4 linked regions of the Drosophila melanogaster genome follow. The protein of the gene in region 2 interacts with the protein of the main gene of each other region in a pairwise test. Each region holds a gene or a part of one and is shown on either strand. Other genes may lie near its edges. The genes, in order: kumpel, CG43861, l(1)G0020 and Strump.

The links.
Region 1: the proteins of CG43861 (region 2) and kumpel interact in a two-hybrid assay, tested with the Drosophila melanogaster proteins (one large-scale study listed by BioGRID).
Region 3: the proteins of CG43861 (region 2) and l(1)G0020 interact in a two-hybrid assay, tested with the Drosophila melanogaster proteins (one large-scale study listed by BioGRID).
Region 4: the proteins of CG43861 (region 2) and Strump interact in a two-hybrid assay, tested with the Drosophila melanogaster proteins (one large-scale study listed by BioGRID).

What each region holds. Positions count from the first base shown.
Region 1 is NT_033777.3:25,904,018-25,911,158, forward strand, and holds the start of kumpel (kin of rumpel), read left to right. Parts: upstream 1-3,004; 5' UTR 3,005-3,112; intron 3,113-3,529; 5' UTR 3,530-3,645; coding exon 3,646-4,175; intron 4,176-6,009; coding exon 6,010-6,169; intron 6,170-6,685; coding exon of another isoform or gene 6,686-6,751; intron 6,752-6,857; coding exon of another isoform or gene 6,858-6,909; intron 6,910-7,104; coding exon of another isoform or gene 7,105-7,141. Other genes in the region: CG31089 (uncharacterized protein), read left to right, coding at 1-73.
Region 2 is NT_033779.5:20,013,392-20,020,350, forward strand, and holds the start of CG43861 (uncharacterized protein), read right to left. Parts: upstream 3,892-6,959; 5' UTR 3,429-3,891; intron 1-3,428.
Region 3 is NC_004354.4:8,715,194-8,723,305, forward strand, and holds l(1)G0020 (lethal (1) G0020), read right to left. Parts: upstream 5,085-8,112; 5' UTR 4,973-5,084; coding exon 4,770-4,972; intron 4,711-4,769; coding exon 4,263-4,710; intron 4,203-4,262; coding exon 2,924-4,202; intron 2,864-2,923; coding exon 1,894-2,863; coding exon of another isoform or gene 1,890-1,893; intron 1,873-1,889; exon of another isoform or gene 1,754-1,872; coding exon 1,627-1,753; 3' UTR 1,520-1,626; downstream 1-1,519. Other genes in the region: CG1785 (uncharacterized protein), read left to right, coding at 29-202, 259-579, 642-1,058, 1,121-1,517; CG1789 (uncharacterized protein), read left to right, coding at 5,413-5,916, 6,041-6,250. UniProt on the Drosophila melanogaster protein: RNA cytidine acetyltransferase with specificity toward both 18S rRNA and tRNAs. Catalyzes the formation of N(4)-acetylcytidine (ac4C) in 18S rRNA. Required for early nucleolar cleavages of precursor rRNA at sites A0, A1 and A2 during 18S rRNA synthesis.
Region 4 is NT_037436.4:16,119,430-16,127,883, reverse strand, and holds Strump (strumpellin), read right to left. Parts: upstream 5,883-8,454; 5' UTR 5,791-5,882; exon of another isoform or gene 5,739-5,790; 5' UTR 5,698-5,738; coding exon 5,579-5,697; intron 5,523-5,578; coding exon 5,420-5,522; intron 5,361-5,419; coding exon 2,533-5,360; intron 2,473-2,532; coding exon 2,101-2,472; intron 2,039-2,100; coding exon 1,885-2,038; 3' UTR 1,832-1,884; downstream 1-1,831. Other genes in the region: Pgm1 (phosphoglucose mutase 1), read left to right, coding at 324-1,542, 1,609-1,747; Taf4 (TBP-associated factor 4), read right to left, coding at 7,812-7,970, 8,067-8,192, 8,253-8,426. UniProt on the Drosophila melanogaster protein: Acts at least in part as component of the WASH complex which may regulate wash nucleation-promoting factor (NPF) activity and is required for its membrane targeting during endosomal sorting.

The sequences.
Region 1 (7,141 bases), on a different chromosome or scaffold from region 2:
GGTTCGTAAATATATCAACGAGCCAGTAATTGACATCATGATGGAATACGAGTTAAAGAACATTGGCACGTGATAAATAGGTTCCCTAATCTCTAATATACCTTATACCTGCGGTAGTCGGATTTATTTTAAGTTTACACATAAGCTAGTCACATTTAACCAAAAGTTATTTACAGAGAGAAAATATTAAAAAATACTTACAACCTATATATCGTTGCATATAGTTTAATCGACTTCAACAAACGAAAGCCGATATTAAAATAAATACAGAAACAAGTTCGGACGATAAGATGTGCAGCTTAACTCTTTACGAACTTTAGCTTATGGATGGCCAACTTTTCAGACGCTTTTCCTTGTAACCACAATCGCTTTTCATTCCCCCCGGCCTCTTCACACATTCGAACAGAGAAATACATTTGATTTTTCCACTCGGCCAACTTCTGATTGCCAGTTGATAGCCGGCCAGCCGAAGGAATAATGCATATTCAAGCTTTTCATTCCCATTTCATGGTTCTTGGCATCATCGCAACTCCCCCAAGGGCCAAGTTGATTTCTGGGCTTTCGTCTGGGCATAAATGGGCCCGGGTGGATATCTAAAAAAAAAAAAGGCAGAGCAAGATATTAAAACAGAGTCTGGCTTCTGGCTAATGGATGCTGGTAGCTGGCAAGTTCAAGGCCACGACTTGCGTGGGCGATGGATACTCCCTGGATCCGAATTTGGATTTGATTTAATTGGTCTTAATTTGTGGGCCGTGTAATCAATGGCACTGAATAGTTCAGTCTGCCAAGAAATACGAATGCGATTACTTAACTAGATTAATTGAAGTTTACATGGCAGTGTGCTAATTTTGGAATTGTGTTTTCGGCATTTAGGTAGAAATTAAAGTATTTTTTCCTCCGCGAAATGTTCTTTAGCACTTAGTCAACGAGGCGTGGCAAGTAAAAAACACACGGAAGCGTTAAATTGGCTCAAGTGTGCACATCGAAAAACACACACAACAACTATAAAGATATAAGAAAAGGAGGAGGTTGCGACTTTAAGATACTTACTAAAGGGTAAATTGGGTATACTTGGTCTAAGGTAAAGGAAAAGATAGGCAAACTAATAAAATAACTAAATAAAATAGGCTATATTGGCTATATAGGAAATATATATGGTGTTAACTGTTCCGAAATTTAGTTTACCCCTAAGCTTTTTAAATACTGGGTATAGAAATGAAAAAGCACACAAGAAAAACTGAGCCAAAGTCGGTTTTTCATTTTCGCCTGGTTTTCACTTTGCTCGTCGGTCGTATAAAAATAATTAAATTTTTGCCGCACTTTGTGGCATTTGTTTTGCTTTTTGTTTTCTGTTTTTCTTTTTTTCCAGCGCCACAGTTACAGTGGCCTGGTTTTATATTGCGGCTGACACTGGCCACTATCTATGAGTTAGTTTGGCTCCTAAATTTCACACATAAGTACTTTACACACGAATTTAAATCGGATTTTATCTTTTGCTTTATGGCTACGGTTACATTGTTCATCCCTTTTTTTAATCTTTATTATCTTACTATTGGTTTCCGTCTGGTAGCTAGTACGTCAGACTATATCTTTTTATAGAACATGTCTGAATATAAGTATTCACAAAATGGGGAAGCGTTACTATAACATGAATTAGTATAGACTACTAATCTGCACTATGCAACGTTATTTCGATTAATTCAGGGCTTTTATTTACAAAGTTTATATTTCCAGCTAATTCATTTGTACCTAATTATTATTATTTTTTTGACTTTTGCTCATATTTTAAGCTGTCCTTTTTGCACTACACCTAATAATAGAGAGCTCTTACTGCTGCCCCCTTCGTTTTTTGAAGGCTATCCTTCCTTACAGGGAATTAGCTCCGTAAAAGATTACCGAAAAGCCGAAGTCACGTTGTGTGCGTTTTGTAGGTTTCTGCAAATTGAATTTACCTCCTACATTCGACCCTGCAGCAGACGTAAGTAATTGCTGCAAATGATTGTCAAAAATCAATTAGTTGGTGTGCTGGCTATATATATATTATAGTACAATACCTTACAACATATTTCGCTGGAAATGATAGCCTTTGTGCAAGTGCAATCGAGTAATTGGCGCACAATTCCAGCGATGATATCATTGCCATTGTGCGCCCATTAATGTGCATTAAATCCAATAAAATGGCGTACACATCTGACTCGCTTTTCGGCTGTTTCTATGTATTTATTTATTGTGCTGAACTTTAACTTGATTTGCCTGCTAGTCATTGCCGATCGGATATGGCCATGCCAGCACACTTGGTTGGACATTTTCGTAAATTCGATTCTAGAAATCAAATTACTGCGAAATGGATGCCAGCATTGGTGAAATTCATGCTCGACATGGGCAGGCGCTTAGGGAATTTAGTATTAATTTATAGGCCCATGTACATCACGCATGTGTCACGTTTTAACCTTGACTGATCGCATTTGGTAAATATTTAGTATTCCTGTTTAATCTCCGGCGGACACAGCGATTTGGCTCACGCCCCAACGCCTGATAACCGTGTTACCTCTGGAAAAAATCCACATCACCATTCAATTTTTATCTAAAACCAGTAGCAGCCCGTTTGAGTCAGCGAGCTAAGCGTATTATCGTGGAAATTTACCCTTTTTCTTTTTTAAAGTTGTAAAATCCATTCCAAGGGATATGCATTTTTATATACAGCATCGCGCCAGGCAATAAAGCCACCGACGCGACACGTCCGCGTACAAAGAAAGTAATTTACTATCTGGCAGATCTTGGGCTGGCCAGAGATACACACCATCACACACCGAATGGGGGGTGTGCACATATGTGCGCTTATCTATCCAGATCCGACATGCCCCTGGCAATTTAGGCGATAAAGCTTTACACAAAGCCTCTGCCCACACTCTTACAAGATTTGCGTGAATTACGATCGGCCAATGTGACGATGATGCTGACTTGGATAAGATCTCCGGAGATTTCTAACGCAGCTTGCGGCGGAAAATTAGTTCAGTGCTCGGCGGTGATTTGGATCAAACACTTGTGTGTGCTCTCATCCAAATCGAATTGGAATTGTCCTGAATCCGAAACTCAAGGATCTCGAGAGCGTGTGCGTTATATATCGTCTTAAAAGAGACTTGTTAATATCAAACTATACTTTTAGAAGTGCTTTGCCCGACTTCAATTTCTGATTGCAATTAAAACAATTTTGTATAGCTTTTGATAAAGTACACATTTACATTAATAAGAGCTATTGTGATAGAATCCGTTGACCTTGAATACGTCTGCGACACTTGCGTTCTAAAGATTTAAAAAAATTTCATTTTATTAATAATTTTTTTTTATTTCTCTGTAAAGAAAGCGAGTTTTGATTTTATTTAACATTCAACTATTTTTTAATTACCTTGCGATTGAGAAGCTAGAAACTTTCGAGTGATTATCTTTAAAAAAAGCCCTTTAAGTCGGAAGTGGCCTTCTATTCGTAAAAACGAACCATACTAAACGCAAAGTCGAATTTAATTCACAGTGATTGTGCTCGTGTTAAACTAATGCAAAAGTAATCAAAGCCGGACACATTAAAGTGACGCGGCTGGAAGTCCATAAAAATAAACTACATAAAAGCAACTTGCGGTGCCGGAAATAATGTCAACCACTGCCGATCCCGTGGCGCTGGGGGTAAACTCCCCCGTGGAGGATGTAGTGGCCAAAACCACCACAACGGTGGCCAATGCGATTGCGAAGACAGTGGCCGTAATTAGCAGCACGGTCTCAACTAGCTCCACAACTGGCGCCACTTCCACCATTTCAACGAGTAGTAGCACACCCACTACCTCGACCACTTTCGCCTACACTCCCACGCCCACTCCCACTCAATCAGCATCCCCATCCCTGGAGGATGGTGAGGAGAAACTCAGCGTGAAGGATTTAAGCCAGGCCCTGCAGCATTTCGGTATTGTTGATTACTTGGTCTTCATCGCCATGTTGGCGGTCTGCGCCGTTATCGGCTTCTATTTCGGCTTTATCGAAAAGAAGCAAAAGAAACAGAAGCTGGCCGGCAAGGACGGCGGTGGGGCGGCGGGCGTCGAGGAGAGGCGTGGCTCGGAGGCGCTGGACTACCTGGTGGGCGGACGGCAAATGAAAGTGTTTCCGGTCGCGCTGTCACTTGTGGCCAGGTGAGTTACAGCTTCGGCTGGGGTATATATATGTATATGCAAATGGTAAATTGGCCCGGAGAATTTAATCCTGGCTGGCCAACGGGATGTGCACGGGAAACAATTTGAATACATTTGGCAGGGTTTCAAAAAGAAAATACGGATCTAACTATATTTTGTTAATTTAAATTTAAAAAAATGAGTTCAGCTCCAGGAGAAAAGAAGCTGATCAAAATAAGGATACTTTTTTGCCATTATTTTTCGCTGTGCAGACCTGCCTAATTACTTTTGACACGGCCGCAGAGAAGGTTGAGCATCCTAAATGAAAGTGTGACAGGAAGGAAGCTTGCAAATTTATTGAGCGATCCCGCTTTAAGCCGGCATAATCCGCAAAAATTGAATGCTATGCATTCGCTTGAATGCGGCTAATATTTGCACAAATTATCGTAATGGGCTAAGCCAAGCCCAGGCAGATCAATCAAAATACTTTCAGTCAGTTCGCCTTATTCCATGCCATTGGCCAAACGTGCGTATACGTAATCTAGGCAAAATAGATAATCTGGCCCAGCCCAGCATTGTCTGGCGAATTGTTTGGCAAGGGCAAACAGTGAAGCATTTTATTTAAAAGTTTCCGACTCCGGACAGGGCATTGCGTAAACAATATTCATTGTCAGGGTCAATGGATGATGAGTGCCTTGGTGTTATGTTGGTTGGTTGGATGCCTTTGGTTTGTGCTGATATTGAAATGGCTTGCGGAACTTTGCGAGTAAATATATCTGGCATATAAATACAACTTAGCAGCTCACTGTGTCTAAGCCGGATTGAAGTTATTTAAACTTGTGCTCGGCCGCAAACTCAAATAATTTGCCCAAATTACTTTTTCTTTTGCTGTTCGGACGGCCAAGTGACCTTGGTCCTGCGGAGTGGGGTGCCTTGTATTTGACACATTTTGGTCAAGCACCTTTCGAAGGGTGCGGTCCCTTTGTCTTAGCCGTGTGCTCGACGCATTAATGACCAGGCCGACAGGTCCTGTTCCCCGAAATCCTGGCCGTGCTCTTGGTCATTTGCCTTGCCCAATGACAATTGTTTCGTGAGCCTTTTATTGTTATGGCATTCTATTTGTTGTCGTTTGCTTTTTGCAACAAATTCAGCCAACGTGCCTTGAATTACAATTACATGGCATAATTTTTTTTCTTTCTATAAAACGCCCTTTGTTCCTTGCTGATTTTTTCAATTTTTTGTAAAACAAATTGTTTTGTTGTGTGTGTGTCTGCATACTTTAACGTCGCTTGTTATCAACTTTTAATGGCATTTTTCTCTCGGCCGTCAACTTTCTGTACCGATGGTGGCAATTCATTTTGTTTTGCGGCCAAAATTGAAATGATGATTGTTATGGACATTAATCATTAAAATCAGATTACCAAATGCAGGGCAAGGAAAAAGTTTTCTCCGCCAAATGCGACTAGACATCATTTGTTTCGGATTGGATTAAATTCATAGCAGCAGCACACATGCTTAATATATAATACCAAAATATTATCTTTACCATTCATAGCAAACAAACTTTTAAGATTCAATATGGTGCCATAATGCCCTTAACCTTCGCCAATCGATTACGTTAAATTTATTTTACAAAAGTTGGCCTACCTTCGTTATAACTTTGACCAACGACTAAGTGACCATAACTTAATTGAATTAAAAAATTTTGTTCAAGTTTGCTTTGCGGGATGGCAAAGATGAAAAAAAAAAACTTTGGCGGGGCGAAAATAGATCTTGATCAATCGACTGGCAATTAGCTGAACTTTAAGCTTAAGACATAATTAGCGTGAACTAATTGTTGGTATTTCACTTTTAGCTTCGTGTCTGGAATCTCGCTTCTGGGAACATCAACGGAAATCTATGTATATGGCACGCAGTACGCCTTCATTCTGGTGACCCTGGCCATTTCGGGAGCTATTTCGTGGTATATATTCCTGCCTGTATTCTGCAATCTCCAGCTGACATCCACCTATGAGGTAAGCCGAACGTTGTCCAATCCAAGTATATTGTGTGTGTTTACCTATTGAACTGCATGTTACGCATTAATTCTATTGGTTTGAGTATACGAATTTGGAATCTTTTGATATTCGACGGCATGTTAATGTGTAAGTAAGGCCAAAGCCCAACTGCGAGCAGGGAGTACATGTTCGGTACGAAAAAAAAAAACACGGGACAAAATCGGTATGCAACCAGCTGTAAGAACTCTTTGTATGGCTGTTTATTTGCATGCACGAGGTTGTGGCGCACAAAGACAGCTACAATAAGCCCGAACAATACCAATTGTACGAGCTGACAAACGGATAGTCGTAGTTTATAAGTTGGTGTTGGCTACATGTCGTATGAGTAATAGTCGATTATGTATGCGCCGCGTTGCCGCACACACACATTTACGAGACCACTGCGTGTGGCAGTGGGTGTGTGTGTATATTTGAGCAATCCTTACTGTGTGTTAAACGAAAGACAACAAACCATTGGGAAAAAAATATTTACAGTATTTCGAGATGCGCTTTAACAAATCTGTTCGTCTGCTGGGATCCGCCTTCTTCACGGGTGCAAATGTAAGTCTAATCCAATTACAAGTGAAGAGAAAATCGTTACGTTCCTTCAGATCCTGAAGGAATACTTTTAAAGCAATTTTGATGCTAAGTGTTTTTTTTTTCTTAGCTTATCTGGCTGCCCATCGTCATCTATGTGCCAGCGCTGGCTTTTAATCAAGGTAAGATTATCTTAGAGCATCGAAGTAAAAGGGGTACAAGTTTTAAAGGGACCTTAAAGAACAAATATGAAATTTAATGGTCTATAATACGTACTTATTGTCAAGAACCCTACATAGATATTACAATGGGATAATTGTAATCTTATTAATCCGGGCTCTTAGTTCCACCCAGTAAAGGTTAAATTATTTTTCCAGTTACTGGAATAAATATCCACGTCATCACTCCAATCGT
Region 2 (6,959 bases):
GTTGTCCGGTTGCCAGGGAAAAACGCCATCCAAAGGACGAGAGGGGTGGGTGGGCGTGTAGTCAAAGGTATTACCTCCTGGCGTGTCAGAACAGCTTGTTTGTCCTGCTAATTAAAGTTGCGTAAAAGCAATGCCATTGTTGCTGCTCCCTGCAAATACCTTGTGCAAATCAAAGTGACGACCTCGGGCAGATCCAAAGGAGTGACTAGCATTGTTTAGCCACCTGTTCTTTTGGCCTGGCTAAATGGAGGGACTCTTGCCTGCGAACAGCACAACACTTTAATAATACTAATTGGTCGAGCTTCTTGGGAAAGTTTATTCTAATAGATTTGTAAGAGTTAATTACAAAGTGCTCTTGTGAGTGGAGAGCTGATTTAATAGAGGATTTCAATTGTAGCTCTTGAGTTGTGAGGTAGATTAACTGATTGCTTACCTTCTAATGGCTCGTTTGGTGCACTTAGAAAATAAATCTATATATTGCTGAAAATTATAAAATTAAATGATAACTTGAATTATTGCTTTACATGCTATTTTTGAATGCATATCTTCGATTCCTCGAATATTGTTTTCCAGTGTAACATTTCATTTAGAATGACTTCCTAGATTTCCTTACTGACAATCTGACGGATAATTCGTTGACATATTTGCACATTCATAATATTTGCATTGTGTTTGATATTTAAGGACAGATATTTTAATTAGAAAGGGATCAAATTTCGAAGTCGAAGGACGCTGCACTTGAGTGACATTGATACACAATTTTCCAAAATGCTAACCAGACATGTGCACACATTTAAAGCTGCTGTCTCCTCGATCTTGACAGTGCGATTTTCTTTATTGACTGGCACAATTTCCCCAGTTCATAATCAATTATGTCCCATGGCCTCAATAAATGGAAATATTCCCAGAAGAGCTTCGACTGCCAGGTAGCGTGTCAATTAAATGGTCATAAACAAGAGTGACGCCGTTCGACAGACAAAAATTTAAATAAAAATTGGAAAATGAAAAGTCAACACGCTCGACTCAACAGCGGAAACGAAAGCGAGCCCATGTCTCACTATCGATGAGCATCGATGTCTGCGTATACGTAATTTTTCAGTTGACATTCGTTTCCTGACTTTTTCTCAACTATTTATAGCCGAAGTCTGCTTTGTTGGGTAACTTCACTTGTGGTGGCTGCCGGTCTTCTTTATTGTCACCCAGCCATTTGCAGCCATTATTTAAATGGCCCAAATGAAAGAGGAGCAGCTGCGTCTGCGAAAGCCTCCGTTTTGGGCGACGGGCTGTGGATGATATCCCATTTCGAGGAACTCCCGAAAAGGTCGGGACCATATCGTTAGACTCAACTTTAAGTCCCAGCTGCCTAAGGATACTCAAAAATGGCATCCAATTGGCTTTAGATTGGGATTATGAATATAATAGCAAACGATTTGCCTGATGGCTTATAGATGGCAAAACTTTATTCCAAACAGTGATTGCAGTCTAAAGATATTATTAACTATTTTGTAGTTGTTTGTAGAGCAACAAAAAAATTCGGATGTATTTTAATGCAATATGGCTAGCTTTTTACGAATAAAAGAAATAATTTACATGAAATTGTAAAGCAGGTTTATAAATACTAGCACGCACCAATTAATAATAAATGTTTTTTATATGTTTCCTTTGTCTCATCCAATCGTGCACAGAAAATAAATCAGGAAACTTTGGTGACGAACGCCAGTATTCGCAAACTATCCAACATATATTGCACTAAAATGCATGTTTTTCTTGTTTTATCTTATATACATTTTGACTGTATGAGGCCAAACTCAGATTAGGATTTAAAGTACACCTACCTCCTCCCTGGAGGACTTAAGATCGGATGAGTAAATGGATTTGGATTACAAACGCTTCACATCTTGTCTCTGTGTATTCTGATATCCGCTTTCATCCGGACCGAGTGTGGCCCACTTCAAGCGAGTGGCATGCAAATAGGATCGGACCCAGAACGCCCTATTCTTGGCCTGCTCTTTTGGGTCTGGGCCCAGTTCCTTATCTGCCGCGCCCATCTGGGCCTGCCACTCGACGCCGACGTTGTCTAGAGTTGGATTCCCGGAGCGGGGTGCTCGGATGCAGTAGGAATAGGAGTAGGACTGGGCGTCTGGGTAGGAATGGTGCAGGATGAAGCCGGCTGCATGTCTGCAGCGTTTGGCTTAACAAGTGATAAACTTGTCGCTTGTCCGCTCCAAGTCCTTGGACATTTTATTATTCCCGCCTCTGCAGCGAGTGCCCTGTGGAAGCCATTACCCCATTCTCCATTCTCCATTCTCCAGTCACCAGCCCCCAGTCGCCAGCCTCCATTTCGATTCCCCAAGACCCCAACTTGCAACAAGACGCTGCAAATAGTTAAGTACAAATTGCATGGCTAATTTGAGCTGTTGCATAAGGCTTAAGAGCTCTCACGCACACAGACCCCACTTCACATCGTGTTGACAAGTTGACCGTAGAATTAGACGGAGAAGGTGTGAAGTGACAGAAGATTTGGCATGAGTAATGACCGTTGCGAGCTGTGCCCATGAAGTAGGCAGGTTTATTAGCAACTGTCGGAAAATAATTTCCACAAGCACTGAAAATTTGCGGGTTGCTTCCATATAATTCAGAACAGTACCGAGAGTCAAGGAACTCAAGTCCGCCCAGAGTTAACGGCTTAAACAAGACTACAATGTGTACTACCTGGAATTGGTAAATGGCTTCACATGGCCAAATGTACACTTACAAATATAACGTAATTCTACCCTTTTATCCATGCAAACTCAAATTAGCTCACAATATAAACTTTCTATCCCAAAAACTTTTTCGCGACAAAAATTGTCAGAGAGCAGTAGAAAATGAAACAAATAAAACGGAAAACTAAGTAGCTACATTTTGGTTCATACTAACGGAAATTCTGTTTAGAATGTAATCCCGAAAAATGTGTTCACAAAGTGAAGGGAAAAGTTGGTGTGGAGTTATATAGTTATATAGATATAGTTTTGGATTAGTATAAACTTGCAGATGGTCAGAAATGTATCTGATTAAAATCAAAACACAATTTAAAGTACCTGTTAAGCAAGGTAAAGCGAAAAAGTAGCTTGAATATTTATTTTGATTTCTTATATCTACTCCAATTTTAAAACCACATATGTATCTATTAGCGTATCTATTATTTCCAGCTCCTTGAGCGCGCTAATGCGATAAGTATACACGGCAACCACTGGGCCACAATTAACGCAGTTCGAAATAGTTTCACAAATAAAGACAACTAGCACTGATTCCCACACTTAAGTTTCCGTTGTACCCATAACCCAATTCGAGACTTAAGCCCCACTAATTATGATTTATTCCACATGTGGCCAACACCCCCGACCTCAGACCCAAAAAAAAAGCCCATTGAGGCAATTGAAACTCACCAAATGCAAGTGTTTGTTTAGACTTATTTACAGCAGCATTTGTATGCAGCTCGGGAGCGACTTTAACTTCATTTTAATGGTTATATTCACCGACATCGGCCGCTCGTTCGGACTCGGATTGTTGATGTTGTTTTACCTGTTACCGTTCTACAAACGATACGAGCACACAAACACAATCACTGCACTTTGGGGAAGATTTTCCAGAAATATTTTTACAAAACTCCGCGGTACTTTGGCCAAACAATTGGGCTTAAACCAACACAAGCAAATGGGGTTTGTTGCGGCAGGCGAATTTCGACAAAATAATGCTTTACACCTTTACACAACGGACTAATTTAGCATTTGCCTAATGGGGCGCAATGAGGCTTTGTTTTCGATTGGTTTTTTCTCTTTTTTTTTTCAGTGGGCCTGGCCAAAAAATGAATTCAAAAATCGAGCGGGTCGGCAGCCGAACGCGTTGAAACTCGTTTTTAGACTGAGTGGTGAGCTTTATGTTCGCAGTTAGTTACCCGCGCGAAAGCATCGCGAGTTCGATTCGAACATGTTGCCTTGCCTCCGTTCAGTTTTTCTCCTTCCTAACCAGGTGAAAATATAATTTTTAACACAGGCGTATGAGTGATATTCAAATTCGATGTAAAATACTGAACTGTGTAAAGAAATCCTTATTTAAATATCTCATTAATAAGAAATATTTAATGGATATATTTCATTTAAAATTATTTAGCATTGTTCTTAATTCTCACGTCTTTTAGTTTCCAAGACATCCTGTTCTAAGACTCTCTGTCGAAAGATTTACACGGAACTAAATTTCCCTCTGTTATTAGTTTGCTATTTACATACCTAACAAAAACTTTCACATTTTTTAAATCGACAAAATTCATCATCACATGATATTATTAATACTTGATTTGATTTATAAATAATCAAAACATGGTCAATTCTAACCTCTATCATATTTGCATATCAGCTGTTCTAGAAGAGCTCACAACCTAACTATTCACAATTCCGAATCTGGTCACGAAAATGACCGCAGAGGCAGAAGCAAGGGTTCGAGAAGTAGGATTGTTGTTTATCTAATAAAAATAAGTTTAGCCAGAACTCAAAAGTAAAACTCTAAATCTCAATTTTAAGGGAATTGTTATTTTATACTTTAAGAAGAATTTAAGCCCAAGATTGTTGGACTCAAACACCAGCTTGTTCGAATCGAACTTCAACATGCCAGCCCAGAATCGAACATGCTGGCAGGTTGCAATCAAACTATCTATCTATCTAACATATATCTATCGGTTGATCTATCTATCTATCTATCTTTATATCTATCTGTATATCTATCTATCTGTCTATCTATCTATCTATTTATATATCTATCTATCTATATATATCTATCTATTTACCTATCTATCTATCCATCTATCTATCTATCTATCTACCTATCTATCTACCTATCTATCTATCTATCTATCTATCTTACCATCTATCTATCTATCTATCTACCTATCTATCTAACCATCTATATATCTATCTATATATCTATCTATCTATATTATATATTCATCATCCACTCGGCGAATAAAACAAACGACACTGAGCTGCAGTCACAAATGAACTTCGTTCTTCTACCGGCAAGATGCCGTAGAATATGGCCAGAAAATAAAACGGAGCGCGTCCAGTTGGACAAGCACTCACCTTGTTAAAACCGAATCCAAAACCCAGCTGCCTTTACCTGCCAGCCGTGCCGTTTTAAAGTCGCATGATTAAGCAATAAATTCACACCAGGGCAAGAAAACGCAAGGCTTCTAGTTGCAGTCGCAATACCGAAAGAAAAACTGTGCAACTAACTATTTGGCAACATTTTAGGTAAACAAGTAGAAGTGCATTTTCAGCCACAGTTTACTCAAAACTTGAGGACACTTACCAAATTATATTTCATTTGTATAGCATCGAGAAATTTTATATATAAAATTTTTACATCGATTGTATGCAGTTTTCAGGTGTATCTACTACTCCAACTTTGGCGAAGATTTCCTCAGGCTAACGGTGTTTTGTTATTTATAGTAAATGTTACCTTTTGCTCCACTGCTTTCGGCCAGGTTTTCTATTTGTATTTACAATTGATTTGCATTTGTGTAACACTGTTTCCTCCATCGAGGAGCGGAAGCCAGCATCGAAAGAGCGACGGAGAAAGGTGTAAATATTGTGATTATGGTTGAGATTGAGATGTAGGTAAATAATATGGCCATCGGTGTGGGTTCAACAGGTGCCTCAGGACAGGCGATAGTAGTAGTAATAGTAGTAGTAGTAGTTGCAAGATGCAAAAAGAAACATAATCCACTTGAGCGGAGGAGGACTTTGATGCAATCGGTGTTAGAAAAGAACTGCAAGCCAGGAAGTGGGGATAATAACAGGTATATCGTCTTGTGAGGTGACGAAACCCAATCTTGTAGCCAATGAACCCAAGTTTCTATTGAGTTTTCCTGTCTAACCTCATATTAAGTCACAATGTTAGTAGAAAAGTAAATAGATTAGAAGTATCTTCCTTATGGATAAGACTATCTTCCATTCAGCTTAAAACAGGCTTTGCACACTCGGAACGCTCCATTTGAGAACGCTGCTTTAGCCATCTGTACTCGTCGCAATATTTACATTCTAAATGACTTCATTGGCAAGTCAAACAGATTAAATCTCTATTAGTTTTTAAGTGAGCCCCGCCAACGGCGCTCGGCTGGCGTCAATGGACCCCGTCAAGCCGAAGAAGTCGAGAAACCGATCCCGAACCCAGGTCCAAACCCGACCCTGACCCCAAGGCGAGTTTTGGGCACGCCAGTAATGACGACGACGCATTGTTTCCACCGCCGATCTTGGCCATGTCGCTGAGTCCACTTAATTTCCTTTCGGTCTTCTGGCCCTGTGCTGATGATGACTTAATCGGTGATCGGAGTTTTGGCTTCGGTGGGCGTTATAATGATTTATTATGCCGATTGACCACGCACTGTAACAACAATCTTACTAAGACCGACCGAAGTGAAAACCAGAATCGCCAACTCAAGTGGGATTCATTGGGATTGATATACTCTTGTGAAGTGAGCGTACATGAAAGTGGTTTGATAATAGCTCTTGAGCTATTTATGGATTTTATAGCTGTGAATGTGGTTGGTCTGTGTGGATGTGGATATATCATACAAACCATTTGTAGACCCAACCATTCATTTAAAATCGTTGCCAGCTAAGAATTTGTTTAGCAACAAGTTGTCTTCTTAAACGAACATAAACATCCAAGGATTCCCTGGGCAGAATCCAAAAGGTCTGCCATCGGGAACGAGCCGTGAAAACCAGTTGACTGAGATGCAGATTCCCGCTGTCCCACTGCTTTACATTTCTCACTCAAGCCTGTGGTTGGGTGGGTGGCAGGATGGGTGGCCGGATGGGTGGCTGGCTGGGTGGCTAGATGGGGGTGGGAGGATGAGGTGGAACTGTCAGGTGTCCTTGGCTGCGTACCGGCAGCCGGATGATATATCACAAACGCAGACGGGC
Region 3 (8,112 bases), on a different chromosome or scaffold from region 2:
ATTCATTTGCGTACTGCGCTTATTACAGAACGTTCGCGGATAAACAGGATGAGGATCTGTTCGTTGTGGACTCCAGCCTCCCGAAGACCAAGGCCACCGTTCTGAGTGTGAAGCAAAAGCGGAAGCTGAATGCCAAGAAGCCCATGCGCAGTTACCAGGCTTTGGAGAACACATCCAAAGTCCAAGATCCCATTGCCAAGCGGTGAGTTTGCAGCATATCCCTGACAGGCGATCTCATTTATCTTGAAATCCCTGCAGCAACCATGTGCGCCAGAAGAAGAACGGACGTAACATCGAGCTGGAGGTGTGCAATCCAACCAAGCCGCGCCATCGCCAGGCCAACAGCGATCGAGCTCAGTACTACGTAAAACTGGAACAGCGTCTGGCCGACAAGAAGAACAAGAAGCTTGATGTCGAGAAGGACATCTGGCAGGAGGTGGATTTTCGCGACGAGATTCCTGGACTCAAGGACGAGAAGGGTTGGATCAGTCGCGAACTGGCACTGCACACAGCTGGAAATATTGGCAAGAAGGTGGTGAAAACTCACGCTAGTCTGCACCACAAAACCACCAAAGCCAAGTGAGCACACTTTGCTGGGCCTTAAGCAGTCGGGTTATTATTGATTGTAATATGTCTTTTAGGAAATTCGAACTCCCGCATCCGGGCATGAGCTACAATCCCGCACCCGAGGATCATCAGGCGCTTATTGATCAGGTGGTGGAACGCGAGGAGGGCATCATTAAGAAGGAACAGCACCTTAAGCGCGTGACCACCAGCATGTTCTCCAAGGTGACGCCCGAGGAGAGAGATCGTCGTCGCCTAAATGAAATGAGCCAAGGCATGGACGAGGAGGAGGGTAGTGAGCTCGATGAGGATGTCCAAACGAATGGGAAGAAAAAGGAGGACGATGATGAAAAGCCATATCACACAATCAACGCTCCCGTGGAGAACAAAAAGAAGAGCAAGCAGGCTCGCCGCAACGAGCTCAAGCAAAAGGAGCTGGCGCGTCAAACAGAGCTCAAGAGGAAGCTCAAGCAACAGACGGCTGACCTGATACGGTAAGTTTCTAACTGATGGCGTTGTGGTCCATCTCTAATCTCTATTGTGTTTCTTCATTCAGCATCAAATCGATTCGCCACGAGCTAGACGATGAGGAGGAGGACCTGAATGATCTAAAGAAGCGCCGCAAGCAGCGCGCCGAGAAGGCCAAGTTTGAGCCGAAACGCCTGGGGCGTCACAAGTTCGAGGAGCCAGACCTAGACGTAAATCTGCCCGAGGATATCGCCGGAAATCTGCGCAACGTGAAGACTGAGAGCAGTCTGCTGAAGGACCGCTTCCACACGCTGCAACGCAACAATATGTTGCCCACGACAAAGCTCGTCAGCCGCAAGAAGTCCAAGGTCAAGCGCTTCGAGCGCAACTCCCACAAGGAGCCGGGCGTTAGCTATAATGACCTCAAGGAACGGCGCAGGGCGGCCGCCGCTGCAGCCAAGGCTACTGCCAATATCAAGATATAGTTCAGTTATTAGGTCTCTTTATTTTTAACGGAGCTTACAACAATATGTACTTTTCTATAGAATTAAAATCCACATTCTTTTTCCCCCCAAACGAAAAAAATTATGAACTCTAGATCAGGGACTTGCCCTGACTGCGTCTCTGTTTCGGATTGTTCTTCTTTTTCTTCTTGGACAGCGGAGCTGCCAGGTCGCCATCCTCACGCGTCTCGATTGGTCCATCCAGTCGCTTTACGCCACTGAAACGAAAGAGAGGCAAATACGAAATAAGTTATATTTTTTTTAACTGAGTGATGTTTATAATAAAACGAAACTGGAGACAAATAAATAAACGTGGTTATGTATTAAGCACATTATTAAAAAAAATAGGCGCACCTACCTCTTGACGGAGAGCAGCCCGCTGCCACCGCCTGTTCCGTTTGTTTCCAGCGCCTTGGACCAATCCTCTTCGGTGCCCTTGATTTGGAATTCGTCCAGCTGCTCGGCCTTCAGGCGCTTCAGCTCCTTGCGCTGCTGCTTGCTCAGCTTCTGAGCGGTTTGATCCAGCTCCTTGTCGAGGGACAGAGTCAGCGGTTGCAGTTCCTCGCCCTTGGACAGATCCGCCTCCCGCAGCATGCCGCCTTCGATATGCTCCTCCAGTACCGACCGGAAGCACTGATTGCACCGTTTCATGGCATCGAAAAATTTCGCCAACAACTGGTTACCCGGCATATTCAGCTCCAGACCCAACGCATCCACAGTCTTGCCCTGCACGCCCAGAGCCAAAAGGATGCCCTGCTGCACCAGGTCAAGCTGCAGACCATCGATCCTGCCCTGAAAATACAGCTGGGCAATGTCCGTGAGCAGATCGATGATTAGACGAAACTCGGACTGCTGGCGGGCGTAGCTCTCCAAGCGCTGCAGATCGTGCGGCAAGAAGTAAACATCCAGCATTGGCTTATCGAGTACTTTCAGTGCACTACCTTCCGTGTCCACGGACTTGTTCTTCAGCAAGGCCAAACAGAGTTTCGTCTCGAATTCCCTGAACGTCTTTCCCATCAACTTGAGGACTCTCCTGCGGAAGTCCTGGTAGTACAGGCCCAGCCAGGGCGTGGCATTGGGCGTGTGCAGCATAATGCAGCTATGCTCGGCGGTCAGTTCGTTAGATTTCTGGCTCAAATAGACGGGCACAAAGCCGGCGTTCTTCCAGAACTTCAGCAGCTCGGTGGTGAGGCCATAGGATGTGCCAATATAGTCCACGTGTTCCGGGACACGTTCGTGCAAGCGCTGCAGAAGTGTGGGTATACGACTACGTGGCCGGATTTGTTCCTTCAGCAGACTAAGTTCCTCCTCCTCCACTTCCTCGATACCTATGCAAAATTTAAAGTATTATGTAGTGCATAATAAACCATTGGCGTGCGTGCACTCACCTTTACCAGCATCCTTGCTGGCAACTGGACCGTCCTCCAGATTAGTGTGCTTCCTTGCATAGTAGTCCTTGAGCAGCTGAATGGCCCGCTTGCCATAGCCCATCCTCTGGTAATTCGGATGCGTGGCTACCCTCACAATGCGAACGCCACACAGCTTGGGAAAATCTCGATCGCCATACTGCTCGGCTACGTTCCAGGGAATCAGATCGCCCGCCGCCTTCTTGCCCCTGCCCAGGGAATCGCTGATGCTCTGGGCGGAGATCTGACCCTCCAGTGCCACTTGGATAACCACCAATATCTCTGGCAGGGCGTCCATTCGCTGAACCGGACCCAGTAGACAGAATAGATGATGCGCCGGGGCATCGCTCATCATCTGCAAATCGTTTGGTGTGTTCTTGTAGTGCGAGGACACATAAATGGAGACCAGGCGATGGAGAAAGGCCTCGGCAGCCTTGTGATACGAAAACAGGGCGTCCCTGTCCACATAGTACAGTTCACAAGCATCCGGCGTGGGACAGCCCGAGCTAATACTCGGCACCGTACTGGCATCCAAGCACAGCAGGTTGATCAGCCACTTTTCTATGTCGTCGTTCTCCTGATACCGAATCGATTCCTCCAGTTTCAGTGGCGGCCTTGCATTGTTATCCTTTTGCAGCTGGGAAATGAGCTTCAAGCTCAGCGATCTGCCAGTGCCCTCGTATCCATTTATCGTACTGGCCATGAATACCAAATACGGACCGATCATCTTCTTTACCAGCGGCAAAGGAATGGCAGCCGCCTCATCGATCAGCAGAAGATCGGCTGCGTTCAGCAGATGAGTATCGCTGGGAGCTATGTACTGAATGGTCTGCCTGCTGCTTCTCGTAATATTTATTCTTATTATCGCCTTTTTGTAGTCGGCATTGGTGGAGCGTATAATGGTGTAGTCAGCATGCTCCTGGTACTCCAAGGCATCGAAGCCCTTGAGCACAAATTCAAAGAGCGTGATTAAGTTCTCCGGATGCGGTGAGGTAACGTAGATGTTCACATAGCCAAAGGCGACGGCGGCGGCAATCGACAGACCCAGGGCGGCCGATTTACCACGACCACGAGCCGCTGTTAAGGACATGGGCGGCTTCAGTTGCTTGTCGACCAGCGCCTCAATGAACTGGGCAACGGCATTGGCCTGATCGTAGGTCTTGCAGAGATTAACCAGAGCTCCTGCTGGTTGAACTGTGAGCAGGCTCTCCTTCAGCTCCTTGAGGCTAGCCTCGTTGGGCGATCGACCGGCGCCTGCGGGCTGAAAGTTTAGAAACAAATGGTATTAGCTGCTTTAGAAGATTTACAAGCATCAGCTTACATTCACTGGCTCCACGTTGATGGTCTTGGAGCTAAGTGGCAGCACGGTGAGGTCATCGTTGACCACCAGACAGCGCTTGCAGTCCGCCAGGGAGAGAATGAGTCGCTCATTGAATCGACAGGTCACCGTCTGATGGGCTTCTGTGCGGAATCGCTTGTGCACATCCATGCTCATGGTGTACAACTGTTTCAGCGACTGCAGTGTCTTCAGCAGCAGGATGATCAGACCGCCGCCCTCAACCGTTTCCACAGTTCGAGCCAAAAGATTGGGGGTCAGGGCCTCGAAGTCCTGGAGCACACACACGCCGTAGGTTCGTCCGAGGACTGCGTGCGTCTCGGAGTAGTATCTGCCGTGAATGGTGGTGGCCACTCGAAAGGAATCGAACAGGTCCGCCTCATTGACATCCACTTTGCCCACAGCAATCTTCTTTGCTCGCTTTTTGCCATGACTAAAAATGTATCTAGTTAGCTGAGTTTCTGTGTAATAGTTCTACAGTTGGATACTCACTTGGAGATGGCCTCATCCTTGTTCTTGTAGCACCACAGGACCGTGGGTCGCGCCTTGACCGTCGACTTGGTCAGGATGTCGTAAAGAATGGGAACCTGGTCGCGCGCCTTGTCCCCGATGACGATGAACATGGTTCGGTGGCCCAGCTTGACCCCATTCTCGATCATCACGCGTATCCGGTTGTCTATTTTCTTCTTCACCATGCTTCGGCTTTCCTGCGTTCACTTTTCACTTAAAAACTCCGGTTTTCCGAAGTAAATAATGCAAATGAAATTGTTGCCCGTTCAAAATGCACGTGTGCGGTTTAGAGATGGGCGCTTTGTCGATAGTCGCGACTCAACTATCTACTTTACAATGTCACGGAAATCGTCAATCATATTACCATTGTGAAATGCACATGAATGTTGTTTACACGAAGTCTTAAATCGTAGAATTCGGGTGGGATTTGTATTGATGTCTTCAAGAAGGCAGCTTGAATTTCTACCAATGAGATTTTTTTAAAAATTCCCGATTAACACCACATTCGATGTTTTGAGTCAATGCGATACATTTATCGAGTAGTTGTGCATCTCTAATTCCCCAAGCGCACGTTTATCAAAACAGAACATATTTGATTGCTGTCGAGGATTAGCATAAATTGAAGATGTCATCGTGGAAGAATGCGTCGAAAAGCAACCAGAAGGTGCACAGGGAGCGCCACCAGCCGGAGTCGCGCCAGCATCTGGGATTCCTGGAGAAGAAAAAGGACTACAAGAAGCGAGCCATCGACGCACAGAAAAAGCAAAAGACCTTGAAGCTATTGTACCGCCGGGCGCAGAACAAGAATCCCGATGAGTTCTACCACCATATGATCAACTCCAAGCTGTCCAACGATGAGCACCACGAGAAGGACACGAAGGACGAGCACACGCCCGAGCAATTGGCCCTCATGCAGACGCAGGACCTCAAGTACGTGGTGATGAAGCGCACCATGGAGCGCAAGAAGATCGAACGCTTGAAGGCCTCGCTGGTGGACGTGGATGCCATTAAGGGAGCAGCCAACAAACGTATCAAATTTGACGAAGACGGATACATGGAGTTGGACATGGGCGAATGGCTTTTAAAGCATGATGACGAGGAGGAAGAGGAGGAAAAGAAGAAGAAATCGGTAGGTCACCTCTTTAAAACCAACGAGGTTGTAAGCTTTTGTGAGAAACTAATTTATAATTGATATTATACTTATGATTTATGATTCTACTTGTGTGTAACGATTGCCTTTAAATTTTTTGTAGAAAACAACTGAACCAAACCCCATCAAACAGCAGCGCATCAACGAGCTGAAGAAACGCGAGCAGCGTGAAAGGGAACTCGGCATCGTCCAGCAGAAGATTCAGCTGAAGAACACCCTCAAGCAGCCACGCCTACTGAAGCCGAGGAAAATAAAGCCGGGAACCAAGGACAGTGCGCCCGTCTACAAATTCCGCTACGAACGCAAGAAATAGAATATTTCCCCTCTAGTTAATAAAGCAATTAAGTGTTAGTTGAAGACTTTTGACAAAACTATGATTTTTATTGTTTTGGATTAAGGAATTACATATATAATTCCCAATTTTGAATGCAATTCAAATGCAAGTAACAAGTTAAATGAGATATGGCATCCTAGTTTTGGGTCATTAATTCGAATGTTCTGATCAGAATATTTATATATACCGAATAGAATAATATATACCGAAAAAAAACAAGAAAAAGTAAAAGCGAATGGGTATGTAACTCGACTAAACGCTTTTTTCAGATTCGTTAAATATTTAACGAAATTTAGATCTTTCCAGGGCACAAACCAAATTTAGTGCGAGTTTCGTTAAGTTAGGTACGCTTAGCCAAGTCATGACCCCAACTTCAAACTGAATTTAAACATTTGTAATGTTTTATTTAAAAAGTCAGCTTATTTTTTAAATTCATTCTTCTTATCTCCGAGGAACATTTCAAGACTAATATTTTATATGTGCTCTTGCAAGTTAGTGTATGCAACATAAGTTTTCAATATTCAATGTAACTTTTTTATGTTTGTCTTTTGTAAAAATAAGCAACCGGCTGCAACTTTTCGAATTGAAAACCGCAGGCGACAGACAACCGGGCAAACACTCCCCGTATCTCTTTTTTTTTTTTCTTTTTTGTTTGCCTGCTGGTCCTTGTTTTCCCCGATTAAAAACATATGACACCATTTTGATGAGTCGCGCATTTTGGCACGCCAAATTATGCATAAAATAGATCGCTATGTTGACACTTTCCACAACAATAGATGGCTAGAGACCGGCGTTAAGGGGATGGAAGGGACTTGAATGGGAATGGGATGGGATGGATGGGATCGGATCGGATCCGCGGTGTACGGCTAACCTAATCGGACTTGTCACGAGTGCATCACAACAAACCGGGCTCATCGGGGATGAAGTTGAGGATGAGTCCGAATGGTAACGCAAAACCTGCACAGATTTTTTAACTAGCATCAATTGGGTTTGTAATTTGAAACTTAACTGCCAAACTGCGAGGGGTTCGGGCAAAATGGTATTGGGTATGAATGAATGGAAATGGTATTGTGATTGCGGTGGGCACATGTGTGTGACTGCTCCGAATGAATATGCATGCAACTGGGGTGGCAGTGTATGTTTCGTTTCTATTTTTGTTTACCCATCTGGGGGCGGGCAGGTCAAGGTTTCCCTGAATATTAGTTGCCCCTGACAATGGACAAAGCAAATTCGCGCTTAAGTGTTTGCTTCAAACCGAATTTAACGAATATAATTACAGAATGGCAAAGACAAACCCCAGCTAATAACGATTGGTGGGTAATTTATAAATGATTGTTTCATATAATGATAAAAAAAAAAAACATAAAATATGGTTATTTTGTGTTTGGGAAAGGGATTTCATTGCTTTGACTTTTAATATTACATATGCTGCAAAAGGATTGGTGAAGGAATATAAAATGGATTCATTCAAAGGCTATATAGACCACCATATCCATGTAGATTACTTATAAATATGGATAAATTGATTTTATCTAAAACATTTCGCACTTTTCCAATGATTCATAACTTCCCACGTTGCAGTCCACAAAAAAGAGGATATGAGCATGTTGGGAGTCCTGTTCCCAAAACAGGATTAAGCATTCATTGTAAGCTCGTTAAATCGCGTTGTGTGTGTGTGTGTGTGTGTGAGAATGAATTGCGTGAAATATTTTTTTCGCCGCGAATGCGAAGTGGGGTAAAGGAAAGCGGTTCCCATGTCAAATGCACACGATTCACGCGTGTCGTGGGCGGCGAAGCGGTGAATTAAGATATTTACGCTAACAAAACCATCAATGATGGAA
Region 4 (8,454 bases), on a different chromosome or scaffold from region 2:
AATCAGACTAACCTTTAATAAAATTGTATGGTGTAATTACTTAAGCGAATTTGATATACAAATTTGCTTTTAATATCTATCTTATACTAACAAAAGACCATCTGTCAAGCTAACATTATTATTTCGCATTATAGAAGCAATATTGCAAAATCTCTATTATCTTAATAATATGAAATATTTAAATCTAAGCTTTTGTTGTACTTACTCAAACAGTTTATTCACATTAAAGGTGGCCTCTTTGGAATATAAAATTGTTTTAGATGCCTAGGCACACCCAACTAAAAAATATACACGATTTAAAAATGCTTTTTTAAACCTTATAGGCGGCATTGTTTTGACTGCATCCCACAATCCCGGTGGTCCAGAGAATGATTTCGGCATCAAGTTCAACTGCGAGAACGGAGGACCTGCCCCGGATGCGTTCACCAACCACATCTACAAGATCACCACCGAGATCAAGGAGTACAAGCTGGTGCGCAACCTGCAGATCGACATCTCAAAGGTTGGTGTAACCTCGTTCGACATCGCCGGAAAGCCCTTTACCGTGGAGGTGATCGATTCGGTGGCCAACTATGTGCGCCACATGGAGGAAATCTTCGACTTCGCCAAGCTGAAGGACTTCGTAAGTGGCAAAGCCACTGGAAAGCCTCTGAAGATGCGCATCGATGCAATGAACGGAGTAACTGGCTCATATGTGCGCGAGATCTTCCTGAACCGGTTGGGTGCCACCGAATCATCGGTGGTCCACACCACTCCACTGCCCGACTTTGGTGGTCTGCATCCTGACCCAAATCTCACATACGCCAAGGACCTGGTTGACACTGTCGCCCAGGGAGACTATGACATTGGAGCTGCCTTCGATGGAGATGGTGACCGCAACATGATCATTGGCAGCAAGGCGTTCTTCGTAACTCCCAGCGACTCGCTGGCGGTAATTGCCCACTACCTGGAGGCCATACCGTACTTCCAAAAGAATGGTGTTCAAGGATTCGCCCGCAGTATGCCAACTGCATCCGCTGTGGATTTGGTGGGCAGAAAGTTGGGCAAGGAAGTGTTTGAGGTTCCCACTGGATGGAAGTACTTCGGTAATCTCATGGACGCCGGAAGGTTGTGTCTGTGCGGAGAGGAGAGCTTCGGAACTGGCTCCAATCACATCCGCGAAAAGGATGGCATCTGGGCGGTTCTCGCTTGGATCTCCGTGATGCAGCACACGGGTAAAGGCATCGAAGACATCCTGAAGCAGCACTGGTCTGTGTATGGACGCAACTATTTCACCCGCTACGATTATGAGGAGTGCGCTTCCGATCCTTGCAACGAGATGGTGGCCACCATGGAGAAGACCATAACTGCTCCGGAGTTCGTCGGCAAGAGCTATTCCAGCGGCGGAAAAACCTACAAGGTCAAGGAGGCCGACAACTTCAGCTACACAGATCCTGTCGACAAGTCGGTGGCCACGAAACAGGGTCTGCGCATTGTGTTCGAGGATGGCAGCCGCATTGTGGTGCGCCTCAGTGGAACTGGAAGCTCGGGAGCAACCGTTCGGTGAGTCACGATGAGATTTAATATCAAACAATTCTTTTCAATAATAGATGAATTGTTCCTTTTCAGCTTGTACATTGATTCCTATGAGAAGGAGAATGTTTTGGGCCAGGCCAGCGTGATGCTGAAACCCTTGATCGACATCGCCCTGGAGATCTCTCAGCTGCCCAAGTTCACTGGACGCAACGCTCCAACGGTTATCACGTAAAGAGTTCCTGTCAGCGAAGGAACACTGAGATTACCAACCCATCCAACTACAATCTCCTCTTGTACCTCAGCGAGGCATTTCCTTGTTATGTTTCGGATTTATTAAAGTTTGTGTAGCCCAAACCTGTTGGTTAGTTTTCATTTTAGCAGTGTGGATAAATACTCGTACTCGCTAAGTATTATGTTGGGAATGCGCTGCTCCAGAACTCCGAGTGGCAAACGAGCAATGCGTATAAAGGCTAGAAGAAAGTGCAGGGCGGTGACCACCTCGGGACCCAGGATTTCTTTATCCCTAATAAAGAAAAGTGTATGTCATCTGATATTCGTGGATTATCTTGTAACTAAAGTACTTACAGTAACTGAGCCTCCGATACAGTCACCACGTACTGACTCATGTAGGATATATACAGCATCTTGACATTCTTGTGGAACTGCTGCAAGATCGTTACTAGACCCACAATAAAAGGCACATTATCAATGTTATCTTTGGCTGATTTTGGCAACAGACAATCGGTAATCGTGGAATGCTGCATACGACCCAAATGGGCAATGGTGAAAAGAAACATAAAGAGGGCCATGTTATGGGTGTTCTTTGTGATAAGGAAGACTTGCTCTAGGGGCTCAAAGTTTCCCGTATAGAGCAGGGTTTCCTGCAGTTCTGTCAACATGACCACACCCTTTTCATCACAGAGATCCTTGCTGAGAGACAGTTCTAGTAAAAGGGCTCTGTTTGCGGAAGAGATTGCAAATATATAAATATTTTTAGGATGTTATAGTTTGACTTACTTGTTCAGGGTGTCCGCCGTGTTCTCCAGCAACTTGGCATCACATTTACTGCTAAAGCTTAGCTCTCCTGCAATTTCTCTGCGGAGCAGCTGCTTCTGTCCAATGCACAAAACCCAATCCAACAGCGTGGGCCACACTTTCAGCCATCGTTGGGTGTAAGCTTGATAATACTTCAAAGGCTGCTTGGACACCTCCGGAGTTGGGAAGTCCCGGGCCTCCAATTCCCGAGTCAGTGCCGCTAACGTATCCACCCACATACGATCCGAGGTCAGGTTACGCTGTAACCGTTCCAAGTTGCGCTTTAACTCATCAGCCAACATGTGAGCGTAGAGGCGCTCCAATCCCACCATTCCTGCCGGAGCCAAGGCTTCTCTAAGTATCTCAAAGAATCCAGAGCCGGCAAGAACTTCCTGGTGAGGAGCCTTCTTCTCATACCAAGTGCTTTTTAGATCCAGAAAAATAGTTTGCTTGGGATCTGTGCACCGCAGAATTTCGTGGGCCAGACGGCCAATGAAGTTGTTAGACGGATCTCCCAACAGCGGTGGAAAGTTGGGAATGGGTATGATCTGGCTCTGGTGCTCCGATTGAAATTCCTGCACTTTGTTGCGGAGGAAGGCATTGCATTCCTTCTCCACATTGTAGTTAATAATGCGTTGCGATTCCTCCAGCAGGATTCGAAGTCCCTGAACTCTTAAGTAGTCCTCTATATATTCGAAGGATCTTCGATATCCCTCTATTGTTTTCGCCAGAGCTTGCAGTTTTTGTTGAAGAAGCTGCACAGGAGTCTTGCCTTTCTCGGGCGTAAATATTAGGCCCAGATTGTAGGCATTTGCCAGATGATTTACAAGCTCCTTGCGTATCCCATCCTCCAATAGTTGTTTAGGATCCAGCTCGATTACTCCCACTAGAGTTGTTTTCATCATAAGAATTCCCTTCGTAAAAACAGCAATGGAGTTTGTAAGCTGAGCCACCTTGGCCCGCTCCTCAAACTGGGCATAGTCCTTTAGACGCTCCTTCTCCACTTTAGTGGGAAACTCCTTGATAACATTCGTAAGGAGATAGATGATCTTAGCCAGAATACTGAACATGGTCTCTGGAACAATTTGCAGAACGCGGCGCAGGAAGTTTGCTAGCTCGGTGCTGTAATAGTTTGACACAGAGACCAGATCCTCGCTTCTGGCCTGATTGATCCGCATCAGCGGCACCTCCAGGGTGCTGGCCAACTTGAGAAAGACCGCTCGTATACCTATTACCGCCTGTGGCTGTCTTTTGATGTGTTCCTGCATGGGAGGAGTGAAGTCAAACTGCAGTAGATGCCAAGCATAGCTGAAGTCAGTGATCATCTGGATGTGAATCTCAATGTCTTCCTTCAGGTTTATTAGCTGTGCCATTTGATTGAGCATGTCTCGCGTCTCCTGTAGTTGCTGCTTCACCAGCATGTTGGAATGAAGGTTGTGATACTCCTGCACATCGTCCAGTGCTTGCATCACCTGAATAATCAGCCTTCCGGACTTTTGGGGCCTGCTCAATTCCAGTTTCTGGAGACGTCCAGCAACTTCGCCAAACCATTGCTGCAACTGAGGATTCTGTTCAATCTTGGACAAAGGCCTGGAGCCGGCAAAGGCTTCGCTCAACTCATTGAGCCTTTGCATGGCCTCCTCTCTGCTTTTCGTCCAGCGCTCCTCCTTAGTCTGCTGAATCTCTGCCAGGAACTCCCTCACGCTCAGCTCCATTTGGCTGCAGTTAAGCAGTAAGTTATACAGCGTATTCCGATTGAATTGTAGTTCGTGGAGCACACATTTTTGCACTTGACCCGTCAAAGTAGCTGTGTGAGCAAAGATGAAAACTTCCCTTGAGGTGTGCAGGCAAAACCAGCGGAGCAGGACATTGGATTGCCTCATCAGGTGTATGATTTTGTTGGCGTGCTCCAAAACAAAGTTGTCATTTAGAACTCCTTCACGAACAATCTCCTGGGTTTTTTGAGTGATCTTGCCCAATTGCTCCTTTTGCTGCTGACAGAGTGCTTTGATTGCCGGTGGACTTATCACATTTTCAATAGCAGATCGAGCGGCTTTGAAATCCAACCAGGCATCCACCAGATTCACTGTCATGCCCATGTACACGGATATGGTCCAGTTGTCGCAAAAGAACTTGTCCACAATTTCGCGCATCTGTGAGCCTTGGGAATGAAGAACTTGCGGGCAGAAATACAAGCACACATACAGCATGGCCGCCTGAGTAGACAGAGCCGTGGAGCGATGGGCAGGATGTGGATACAGGTTCAGTTGGTTGTATATATCATCGCACCGCAGACGAGCCACCACTAGATCCACGAAATTCTCATCGAAACGGAAGCGAGAGAAGTAGGCCTCCGGGTATCGGGGAACCACAAGGCTAGCAGCTCTAGCGCCTGCCTGTTTGCCACCCAAACCGAGCACTTTAGCGGCAATCGACGGATGAACATAGCCCGTAGATCGGAGCAGGAGACAAACATCATGGATATTACTCTCGTCTCCGCTAGGCGTTGCATCTCCTCCACTATACCGATAGTAGGCGATCAGCAGACGTTCTCTCACATCCCCCGGAATGTGAAAATCGACCATGAGGAGAATCACACCAAAGAGATACAGGGATTCGCAGAGCAGTTGGCGGCCCTCCTCCTCCTGAAGTACCGTCTCCAGCGTCTGCTGGATATAGTAGCCAGTGTTCAATTCCTCGATATATTGCTGGAGATCGGAGGCATAGTGATGGATGCTCTGGAAGGCCAGGTAAAATCGTGTGATTAGCGGAAGCTGGGCACGTGCCTCATCATCGAGTTCGGTCAGTTCCTGAAGGAAATCAGGGTGTTTAATACGGTGTGGTCTCGGGTATATTAACATCAAATTACCGGACTTTGTTCGATCCTCCTCTCGTGATCTTCGGCTATCTTGAAGTAGCTGAAATCCAGAATAAGCTCGCCATATTTCGCCTTATCAGCTTTGTTGTCCAATCTGGGGAGGAGTGGTCACCAATTATTCATTAATTGCAGGTTTTTAATCTATGTTACCTATAAATACTGGGCACGTAGTCCTTGAGGCGCAGGATCTCTGCTATTATAGAATTACCCACCGACACTATATTCAGCAGATTCTGCCCACAGGCATTATTGTCATCCAGAAAACTCATTATGCATTTCCTTGATTTCTGTGATTCTAACAAATGCCTCTCTGGAGAAAGCTTAATTTGTATAATCACATTATTAATTAAAGCTGTACATACTTTTTATCAGTCCACGAATTATGTTATTGTTTGTTTATATTGTCTATTCATTTAGTCATATCAATTCTTTTTTGCACTAGTGTATTATCTGCAGTAATCTTACATAAGTCCGGTCACACTATTTTGTTGTTATAGAGTTACCATGAACTTCGAAATGTTGGCGCATAAATTTGAAGTGAGAAACTGATGATAACAACCTATGAGGTACATAATTTAATAACAATTATTAAATTTATTAAAATGAGATATGAAACTACTATTGTATTGAATAATAAAATTATAATATTGGCTTAATAACTCTATTCGATGCATTAAAGTGCAATAATGATGGAAGATCTAATGGTTTCCGACTTTAGATTCACGATTTCAATTTTAAAATTTAAAAAAGAAAGCAAGTTGTAATACGACATTAAGAAAATTGCCAATTCGTTATGTGTTTCTGGTTGAATCCAAACGTGAATTTGGTTCTATTTATTTTGTGTTAGATTTTCATTCTATGGGAGCTACACAAAGTTTCAGTAGGATTAATTAACATAATAAATGAATATAAAAATATTAATAAAATTAATTAATTCAACTACATAAATTGTAATGATTTAACTAGCTAATTAACTGAGATACCGTTACATATTCCATACGACATAAAATAATAATATGCATAAGCAAACACTGCGCACTAAAATAAATTCTGCATATTCCCAGCTAATAATTCTCCGTGCTCAGTTGAAGTTTTCTCAATTTTTTCTTTTATTTTTTTGCTTAATGTTAAAACATAATAATAATAATATATATATATTCAGTTATATGCCTACCAAACTATGCGCTGTTTACGGTTGCATCTGCATTTTGTTTATCATATTAATTTTTACACACAAAGAATTTGCTTAGAATGGTTTCACTTTTTGCTTAGGTTTACTGAATTACATCAATTGTTGTCAATTTATTTGTTATAATTTTTTTACGGGACTCTATTTTACAAGATTTATCGAGCTAATTGTATAAAATTTGTCTATTTTGTGTGTAGTTCAGATTGGATTAGGGGATTTATGGATCTATGGAGCCTAATGAATCGCCATTCTTAATGGATGAACGAGCGCCACTAATAAAAACATATTTTTTCGGTGTGCCAAGTTGTCTGCGCTCGCATCGCTCCTTGCCATCGATAATTTGTTAATTACGTTTGCGTTTTTACCTAGTTATCTATTAGAAAAACCGTAGCCTAGAATGTATTTACAATTTGTTGGGTTTGTTGTGGTCTTGCCTAACGATTGATTTCCGTTTATACATTATGGGTAATTAAAAATTACATCTTTTTTAAACAACTAAACCTAATTCAATGGATGTTTAAATGGATATTTTTCGGTTCTTTTTTTGATGTGTTCTTTTGTTTTGCTGTTGCTGAACTTGTTTCGATCTAGTTGGTTTTAAAAACCTTTATCTGTAATTCGGTTTCGATTTCTCTTCACGCGCCCTTGCTTTTTACTTAAAATCTAGGAATTATGGTTCGTTTTCGTTTAACAAACTAAGCTAAATAATTAAATATTAATAATTATGTTTATATCGTTTAGATAAGGCCGTCAATGCAGTTGATGCAAACATTATTATGTTACAAATTACAAATCAAACGCCCGCTGACTGCGCGCTCTCTTTTACCTTCTTTTACTTTCCTCTCTATTATTTTATTCTCTTCGTTTACTCTGGTTTTGTTTTGTTTTTGGATTGGTTTGGTTTAAGTTTTACAGAGAATTTATTGGAAAAATAAACGAGCTTTAAATTAGGCTTAAAATCAAATACGATTAGAATTTAGGATTTATGTAAATAAATGTAAAAATAGAAATTAAATAGAGCCGCCTAACTAAAAAGAAACAACAACAGGGGACACGCGACGCATTTAAAGTTGAGGCTAAAATATATTGCAAGTGGATGAAATCGTAAAGCTGTATAAAACAACAACACGACAGTCCACGGAGTAGGAGGATCGGCGAGGAGAAGACGGTGCGATTGATGGGCAACAGCAGCGATCACTTGAGGTATGTCTTGAACAGCATGGAACTGCGACAGAACTCCCGCTCTTGCTCCATGTAGAAGAGCATGTCGCGCAGGTTCACACGTTTTATGCGAGGCCGTAACGTCGTCGGCGCAGATCCCGAGCTGCTTAGCACTCCGCCGCCACTTGAACCCTTTTTGGATAAACACAGCTTAATTAATAACCGTTCTGGTAGTCAACTATCCTAAATTTTAGACACTATCTTTTTGTATAATTGCACCATACATACCGCTCCCGAACTGACTGTTTCGCCGTCTAGCTTCAGCTTTTTCCGAGGTCCAATCGCCTGCAGCGCCGTCAGATTGGCATCTCGTTGACGCAACTCCTCCATTTCGGCGCGTTGCATCTCCTTGGCCTAAACAACAAGAGAAAGACTTAAGTAAACGGCTACAGAGAAAGACGATTGCGAACACACCCTCGCCTTCATCTTGGCCTGCTCGGGATCTTCCACCCTCGACCGTGACTTGGCTGCCCGCAGCAGCATCTCACGCTCCAGTTCCTCGTGTCGCTTCTGCTCGGCCTTGTCCAGCTCCTCGAGAAACTTGATCTGACCGCGCACATCCTTGGCGGGCTCATAGCGTGGATCCAACTGTAAGAAATAGGAAATCAATATTTTC